Mus musculus: one gene and its partner. The protein of the gene in region 2 purifies or fractionates together with the protein of the main gene of each other region. This does not show direct contact. Links are inferred from orthologs where the notes say so. Each region holds a gene or a part of one and is shown on either strand. Other genes may lie near its edges.

Region 1 (4,594 bases), on a different chromosome or scaffold from region 2:
CAAAGTGCTTCCCTTACAGCGCTGGGGAAGCGCTCTGAGAAGCCCTTGCCGAGACACTTAGCAGAACTTTGTTCTCTACATGGGCTATCTAGCTTTTCTCAGTGACATCACAACCTCCCGGACTCTTCACTGGCTGCTGAACACAGTCCAGGCAATGGTAAGAGGCTCCGGGCGCTGGCCGTGGTCCTGACCTCCTAGCTCAGAACCATGGTGCTGAGCGCACTAGAGGCGGGGACCTTGCCACACTGAGTAGCCATGTAAGCCCTTGTCCCTACAGACCCCAAGGGAATCCTCTAGTCTTCACTGCAGCCTTCCACTGCTCTCTTTGAGCTGCATCAAAAAAGGGTGGGGCTCTGAGCCGCAGCTGCAATCGGATGCCGCCCGGGAGGATTTAAGAACAGCACAGTGGTCCACCCCAATCGCCACTCGACGCCTCCAGCCCGGGGATCAGCTGGTCCCTGACGCGGGTTCCCCACCTCCCAGGGACAAGGAGGCTAGGGCAGCCTTTGTGGGAGCTCAAACGCCCACTGGCGAACCCGTGCCTCGCCGCACCCTGCGCGGTGAAGGGGTGGGCAGGGCGCGGTGCGCGTGCAGATGCGGGAGGCAGAGCTCTTGGTGCCGCGTGCTGGCTGGTGCTGGCTGCCACGCGGGGATGCTCGGTCCTCCGCGACAAGCCAGGGGGCAGCCCCGCGCTCCGATCCCACCCTCCACCCCCATACCAACCTGATCATAGATGTTCTGCAGGGCTTCCTTGCCCGAGGCCCGCCGGATCTCCACCTTCCGGCTCGATTCAACAGATGGCTCCCCACTGGCACGCCGGCTCTGCCGGTGCGGGTCGGGGCCCAAGTGGGCGACATCGCGCTGCTGAGCCACCACTTGCCCCGAGCCCCGGCCCACTGAAAGCGAGTCGAAGTCGATGGTCTTGTTCTCCGAGGACCCTTCCACAGGGCAGAACATGCCGCAGAATTTCTGCCGCGGCTTGGGACTGCCGGAGCCCAGGTTTTTAAAAAAGGCAGGGACCTCTTCGTCCTCTGCTGCCTTTCCAGATTGCTTTCTCTCGGCCATGGCTCAGGGGGCGCTGGGGAAGGTCCTGTCTGTTCGTCCGTCCGTCCGTGGTTTCCTAAGTCTCCCTAGCTGGGTGTGCACTAGCCTCTTGCTGCCGCCGCGGCTGCCTCTCCCTGCCTACCGCAAGGTGCACAGAAAGGATGGAGAGCTGGCGAACCGGCGACCCACCCCTCGCGGTCCCTCCTCCTGACCCCGCTTTCTCCCTCCCTGCCCACGCCCCCCGGCGCCGCCACGCCACCTCCGAGCAAAGTTGGATCTGAGCGGGCGGTCGCTGCGGCAGAGGATGCCAGTTCCCGGCAACGCGGGGCGGGGCGGAGTGGGGCGGGGCAGGAGGAACGCAGGATCAGGAGGGAGGGGACAAGGAGGGAGAGGACCCAGAAGGAGGAGACGGAGAAGGGAGGGTACGAGGGGGTGGGGGGCGCCCGGAGCCTGCGCCCCGGAAGTAAAGCGGACACTCCACCCGCTAATGGACGCGCGGCAGCCGCCCGACAGACCTCTCTCGGCGCCAGGGTGAGTGTCGGATAGCTATAGCCGGGCAAGGACCCGAAGGCTCAGACCCTAGTCCAGAGCCCCTCTCCCCGACCTGCCTCACTGCATTGCTAAGGTGGCCCTGGGGCTCCCCTGGCCTCGGGTGAGAGCTGAGGGTTGAGGGAGCCAAGGTTCAAGCCTGAAGGCTCTTGGAAACTGGGCAGGGGTGACCCTGGAAACAGCAAAGTCTACTCCGGGATAACCAAGTATCCGGCACCAATGCTTCAGTTTACCCACGACCTGGGCGCCAGGGCGCGCACTGCAAGGAGCAGAAGGAAAGGAGAATGTTCTCCCTGCTTGCAGCCCCTGTGGTTGGGAGGTGGGGCTCACAACATGGCGGGGGCGAAAAAGCAGAGGAGCATAGCAAATGCAAGCGGTGACCGGGGGAGAAAGCAGCAAGCCTGCGGTGCGGGGGGGGGGGGGGGGGGCATAGTAAAGAATGCAGACTGAGGATTGCGCTTCAGCATAGAAACTGGGGACCCGTAACATCATCTGAAAAGGCCATGCCCTGCACATCAGCCATTGCCTCAGAAAAGGCTCAGAAGAGTCCTGGATTTGATATCTCCAATCCCTCAAAACACACACACACACACACACACACACACACACACACACACACACACACCCAAAACGGAAAATGGTTGGGGACTAAGCAGACTGAAGCACACTCATCTTGCTTTCAAGTCGCCCCGCCTAGCTTCCCCGCCCCTGTTGCACGCTGCGCAGGAGGCCCGGGAGTTTGCCAGATGTTCCTTCTCTAGGGCCGCAGCGGTTTGCATGGAGGGTAGAGGTAGATTGCTGTTCAGGGGAGGGTTACATGCTGTGTGAGTTGTGGGCAGCCAAAGTGTGGGGATTTGGAGTGTGTGCGCGCGTGCACACGGTTCAGCCACGACCGCCAGGTTCGAGGCTTTTCCTTGCTTAGTCCCACCTCCTGGTCCTGGCTTGGTTGCATTTAAGCCCCTCCTGTTTTTCCAGAGTGGCTGAAAGCTGCAAAAGTGTTGCCCATCCTTTAGGGGTTCTGGAGCGAGATCTGAGCATGCTCACTAAGATGGATGGGTTTGGTCTAGGAGAGGCAGTTTACTGCAGCGTGTTCTCACAGGGCGTTGTGACCAAGAAATCAGTCCCATTGTCAGCCTTTGCTTAGGTAACGATTGCTTGCAGATATCAACGCCCCCAGTTGCCCGAGATAGCTTGATTGATGGAGTCATAATTTGTGCGCACACACACACAATCCTGTAGGAGCCGAAAGGAGGGCCTATGGACCTTAGCACCAGAAATGCTTGGAATTTTCTTATAAAGTGTCCATTGGAATTGTCAATGCCACACTAAAGCCCTGAGGTCTTTCATCCTCCCTGCCTTCCAAGTTAGGACACCAGTTTATGAGTCATTACGCCTAAAGTCATGTGTCTAGTTGTCCAGGCCTTTGCCCCAAGAGCCTGGTTCCTTCAACAGGTTATCCTATAGGCCTCTTTAGTGAGAAAAGTACAAAATCCTTGCATTCTTCCATACCCAAGCATTTCCCTGGTGGTTCTTTTGTACATCAAGGGTGTTTCATTTACAGTCTTAAAATCTTTTTTGGTTAACCTTCATTTATGTATATGGATGTTTTGCTTGAATGTTTGTACATGCACTGTGTACAGGCCTGGGGCCATTGGCGGCCAGACAAAAGTGCCAGATTCCCCTGGAATTGAAGTTACAGAGTAAGCCAACTTGTGGGTGCTAGTAACCAAACCTGTGCATTTCACCACTAAGCAATCCCTCCAGATGTGTGAGGCCTTAGTTAATTGAAGAGCAACCCTTGTAGGTATGGTTACCATTGGGTTAAAGGTCTCAAAGGCTAGCAGATTTCAGCATGACAATTTTTCTGTGAATCTGGACATTTGGTGTTTTTTGTTCATTTGTTTGTATTTGTCTTTTTTGTTTGTTCGTTCGTTTTCTGTTTGTTTCGGTTTTTCAAGAGAGGGTTTCTCCGTGTGACAGCTCTGGCTGTCCTAGAACATACTCTGTAGACCAGGCTGGCCTGGAACTCAGAGTTCTGCCTGCCTCTGCTTCCCAAGTGCTAGGATTACAGGCATGCGCCACCACTACCCAGCATGTCGCTTGTGTTTGTTTTTGCTCTTTCTGAGACAAGGTCCTGTTTGTAAGCCCAGGCTGACCTCAAACTCCCGATGTAGCCAAGGGAGTTAAACTCCTGGCTCACTTACCTTCACCACTTAAGTGCTGGGGTAATGGGTATGTGCCACGGCGCCTGGCTTATGCAGTGCTTGGGATCTAACTCAAGGCTTTGTACATAGTGACAGCACTCTGCCAACTAGGCTACAGTCCTAGCCCCTCCAGAGCTCTTCACATCTCATTCCTCGAAACAACTCCAAGCAGAGGAAGTTCACTCCCATATTTTACAAGGGAATCTCAGGCCTAGATTGGTCTGAAGTTCCGGGCTCCCATGCTGCCAAGCACAGGGTGAGACAGCATCTTGCTCTCCTGGTTCTGACACAGTGGAACAGCCTTCAACACCTTCCAGGAAGACCGGATCTGCTCCTGCTGCTGCCATAGTTAAGACCAGCATCTGTGGCATACAACCTCCTTCAGAGTGATGGGAGATGTTCAAACCAAGGAGGAAGTGGATATAGCACCCTAACACACCCTCTACAAGTCTCTGAGAGGCACAGTCAGGCACCAAATTACAACATTTCAGTTGACATAACACATGTGCCCTATAAGAATGCATGGTCTAGTGATGGCACTCTGACATTCAGCCAATTAGGAAGCGGCTTCTCTGGAGGCATCCTCATGACTAAGTGACCACACTGTCACTGGGAGCACTCCCTTTTACATTCTCCAGTCTCCCCAGCCCTGCAGAGCAAGCACGCTTGGTGCACACATCACTTTGCAGTGGATATGTGTTCTGTCTTTGCCCTTTTCTCAACGGCCCAGTTAAATTTAAATGACAATGTCAAGTTTAAATGTCTTAGTTACTTTTCTATTTCTCTGGCAGAGCACC
Region 2 (4,107 bases):
CAGGCTGGCCCAGAACTCAGTGAGATCCTCCTGCCTGTGCTTCCCAAGTGCTTCACCACACCTGGGATAAGATTCACTTATTTAAATTGTGTGTCTGTGCATCTGCTGGTGGGCATGTGAACCTGTGTGAAAGGAGCCAGGGAGGCCAGAAGACGACGGTGGGTATCTTGTAACTGGAGTTACTGATGGTTGGGAGCCACCAGGTGGGTGCTGGCAACTGAACTCCACAGGATGCAGTCACTGTGTTTAATATCTCTCCAGCCTCTCGTTAGCCTAGGACTTGCCGTGTAGACCAGGCTAGTCTCTGACTCACTTTGCCTCCCAGTTGTTGGTACTCTAGGCCTGGACCGCTATACTTAGCTCAATTAACAGTTAATATTCAATATTTTTAAAAAACTTCTTTTTGACATAATGTCTCACATGTCTCATGTCGTCCAGGCTGGCCCCAAACGTGCTGTGGGATCTGGGCTGGGGGATTTTGACCTTTCCACCTTCTTCTACCCACAGGTCGCTATTAAGATCATTGATAAGACCCAGCTGAACCCCAGTAGCTTGCAGAAGGTGAGGCCCAGAGAAAGGACCAGGGTGGGAACACAGTGCTGGGTGAGAGCTGGGACCCGACCAGGCCTGGCAGGGGAGGGAGCCCCACCCCACTCACAACTGTCTGCTCTTCCTTCCTGGCCTTGCCCAGCTGTTCAGAGAAGTCCGAATTATGAAGGGACTCAACCACCCCAACATCGGTGAGGAGGGGACGGGAGCTGGCCATGGATGGACGGGGGCTGGCCATGGGTGGATGGGAGCTGGCTATGGATGGACGGGGGTTGGCTATGGGCGGACGGGGGCTGGCCATGGATGGACGGGGGGGGGGGGGGGTTGGCTATGGGCGGACGGGAGCTGGCCATGGGCGGATGGGAGCTGGCCATGGTGGAGCCCTTGGGAAGGGAGGGCGGGGCTTTCATAGAGAGACCTGGCCACTGTGGTGCAGCCATTCCAGCCTGGCTGAGGCTCCCTGGGCATCTGCTTTGTTTTCTGGAGCTGGGATCAGTATCAGGGTTGTAATGACCAGGTAAGATTAGCCTGTTCAGGTCCGTGTGGACCACGGCACTCATGGTCATTAGCAGAGGTGGTCACTGAGCGGAGCACAGTGTAGCGTGCCTGGATGTGGCGATGACGTGCACTGACTGTGTAACTGCCGACTGTGAATGCCAGCAACATGGGCACAGGTCCTAGGCTTTATTGAGCTGAAACTCTTGTGTAGAGAAAGGGAGGCTGAGCAGCAGGGAAAACCTGGCTGGGTGGGCGTAGGGAGCCATGGGGGCTCTGGCGGGAGGCACGAGAGGATTGGCAGATGGCTGCAGTCTGGGTGGAGAATGGCCAGCTCTTCCACGCTAACCTAACACCTCGAACCCTCCCCGCAGTGAAGCTTTTTGAGGTGATAGAGACGGAGAAGACGCTATACCTGGTGATGGAATACGCTAGCGCAGGTGAAACTCTGCCCCACGCTCTGCTCCCCCTAACCCCTGTGCCTGCTCTCACATTCCCCCCAGACCCCCATAACCCTGCTCTCACATCTCCAGACCCCCAGACCCTGTTCTCCCCCCCCCCAGGCCCCCAGACCCTGCTCTCACCCCCAGACCCCTAGACCCTGCTCTCACATTCCCCCACTCCCTCCCCCTGCTATCACATCCCCCCCAGACCCCCACACCCTGCTCTCAGACCACCCCCAAGATACCCACATCCTGCTCTCACCCTCCCATCCCCGTGCCCTGCTCACACATCCCCCAGACCCTGTGCCCTGCTCACACATCCCCCAGACCCTGTGCCCTGCTCACACATCCCACCACACCTTGCTTTCCCAATCCCTCCCCCATTGCACCCTCTGGCTCCAGCTCTCACCCCTCTTGCTCTCTGCAGGAGAAGTGTTTGACTACCTCGTGTCGCACGGCCGCATGAAGGAGAAGGAGGCTCGAGCCAAGTTCCGGCAGGTGAGAGACAGGGTGCCATGTTCATGAGCATATGCAGGGATGAGGATGCACAGGGACCCAGATGGGAGGAGGCTGTTGGGGGGCCAGGGCTCAGGTGATGGCAGTGGGTGTACAGGTGAGTGGATGCTGAGGCCTGGGTGGGGTGGGGGTGGGGAAAAATGCTGGAGTCTGCATGGCAAAGCTGGGGTGGATCAGGCAAGGGGATCAGGGGCATCCTCAGCCACATAGAGTTTGAGGCTAGCCTGGGCTATACAAGACCCTGCCATGAAAGAGAGAGAGAGAGAGACAGAGAGAGAGAGAGAGAGAGACAGAGACAGAGAGAGAAGGAGAGGAAAGGAAAGGAAAGGAAAGGCAAGGCAAGGCTGGGGAGATGGCTCCTTGGATGCAGCCCTGCTAAGCAAGCCAGAGGGCTAGAGTTTAGTTCCCTGAGCCCTGTGGGGTGGGTGTGGCAGTGCCAGCCTCCATCCCAGCACTCAGGAGGCAGCTGGGCTCACTGTGGCTGGGCAGCTACACTACCTGGATTGTTAAGCTCCTGGTTCAGTGAGAGAGACACCCTTCCCCAGTAAATAAAGTGGGAGAGCAATTGAGAAGCACACTGATGTCAACACACATACACAAACTCAGAGATGCAGAGGGTGGTATGTGGGTCCTTGAAGGAGTGTGTGTAGGTGTGAGGTAGCTGCATGCGTTGGAGTGGCAAGATGGGGGTGGGGCTTCTGGGTGGCAGGGCCTACAGGTGCTTGGTGTGGAGGATTCACCACTCTCACCTAGGGTGTAGACATTGGTGTGTGAGAGTGAATATGGAAGTTAGAGGACACACCGGTGTGAGGCCCAGGTGTAAGGTGAGTGGACATGCAGGTGTGAGGTGAGAGGATGTGCAGGTGTGAGGCTCAGGTGTGAGGTGAGTGGACATGAAGGTATGAGGCCCAGGAGTGAGGTGAGTGGACATGCAGGTGTGAGGCCCAAGTGTGAGGTGAGAGGATGTGCAGGTGTGAGGTGAATGGACATGAAGGTGTGAGGCACAGGTGTGAGGTGAGTGAACATGCAGGTGTGAGGCCCAGGTGTAAGGTGAGAGGATGTGCAGGTGTGAGGCTCAGGTGTGAGGTGAGTGGACATGCAGGTGTGAGGTGAGAGGATGTGCAGGTGTGAGGCTCAGGTGTGAGGTGAGTGGACATGAAGGTATGAGGCCCAGGAGTGAGGTGAGTGGACATGCAGGTGTGAGGCCCAAGTGTGAGGTGAGAGAATGTGCAGGTGTGAGGTGAATGGACATGAAGGTGTGAGGCACAGGTGTGAGGTGAGTGAACATGCAGGTGTGAGGCCCAGGTGTAAGGTGAGAGGATGTGCAGGTGTGAGGCTCAGGTGTGAGGTGAGTGGACATGAAGGTGTGAGGCCCAGGTGTGAGGTGAGTGGACATGCAGGTGTGAGGCCCAGGTGTGAGGTGAAAGGATGTGCAGGAATGAAGAACAGATTCAGGGTGAGAAGATCCATAGGTGTGAAATGAGAAGGTACACGGGTGTGAGAAGCATTTCAGGATGTGTGGCCTGTGAGTGGGCACCACTGTATTTACTACTGGTGTGAGGGCACCCTTTGTGTAGAGTAAGCACCTTCAGGCACAAGGATTGTAGCCCCGGTGAGTTGGGGCCACATACCTGTTTCCCTGCATGGGACACTTTGGAGTTCCCAAACATGGACTAGTCCCAAGGTCTTGATACTACAACCAAGGACATGCGTGTATGCATACCTGCATGTGCATGCATGTGTCCATGTGTGTGTTTGTGTGTATGTGTGTGTATGAGAGAGACAGAGAGACAGAGACAGAGAGAGAGAGAGCTGCCTGTGAGACCATCAGATGATGTCTGGGTGTTCAACGCTCTCTGAACCTGGCTGAGCCCCCAGGTCCTCGACTGGTGCCCAGAGAAGTACTGGGCAGCTAGGTCAGCTGTGGGTGGTGGCTTTTTGGGCTGCAAGGGACATGGAAGACTCTGGCCTCCCACATGACTTGTCTTCAACCGTAGATCGTGTCAGCCGTGCACTACTGTCATCAGAAGAACATTGTACACAGGGATCTAAAGGTAAGCCCCTCCCACTGCGAGAGCCCAGCTGCCAGCCATGCCTCACACTC

What was found. The genes of interacting proteins can lie anywhere in the genome.
Region 1: the proteins of Mark4 (region 2) and Pnma2 purify together in Homo sapiens (co-immunoprecipitation; 3 studies listed by BioGRID and IntAct, with this or other methods). This does not show direct contact. The link is inferred for Mus musculus from reciprocal best matches to the Homo sapiens genes MARK4 and PNMA2.

What each region holds. Positions count from the first base shown.
Region 1 is NC_000080.6:66,909,719-66,914,312, forward strand, and holds the start of Pnma2 (paraneoplastic antigen Ma2 homolog), read left to right. Parts: upstream 1-1,489; 5' UTR 1,490-1,575; intron 1,576-4,588; exon of another isoform or gene 4,589-4,594. Other genes in the region: Dpysl2 (dihydropyrimidinase-related protein 2), read right to left, coding at 724-1,065.
Region 2 is NC_000073.6:19,445,059-19,449,165, reverse strand, and holds part of Mark4 (MAP/microtubule affinity-regulating kinase 4), read left to right. Parts: intron 1-507; coding exon 508-561; intron 562-691; coding exon 692-740; intron 741-1,418; coding exon 1,419-1,484; intron 1,485-1,914; coding exon 1,915-1,985; intron 1,986-4,000; coding exon 4,001-4,057; intron 4,058-4,107. UniProt on the Homo sapiens protein: Serine/threonine-protein kinase. Phosphorylates the microtubule-associated protein MAPT/TAU. Also phosphorylates the microtubule-associated proteins MAP2 and MAP4.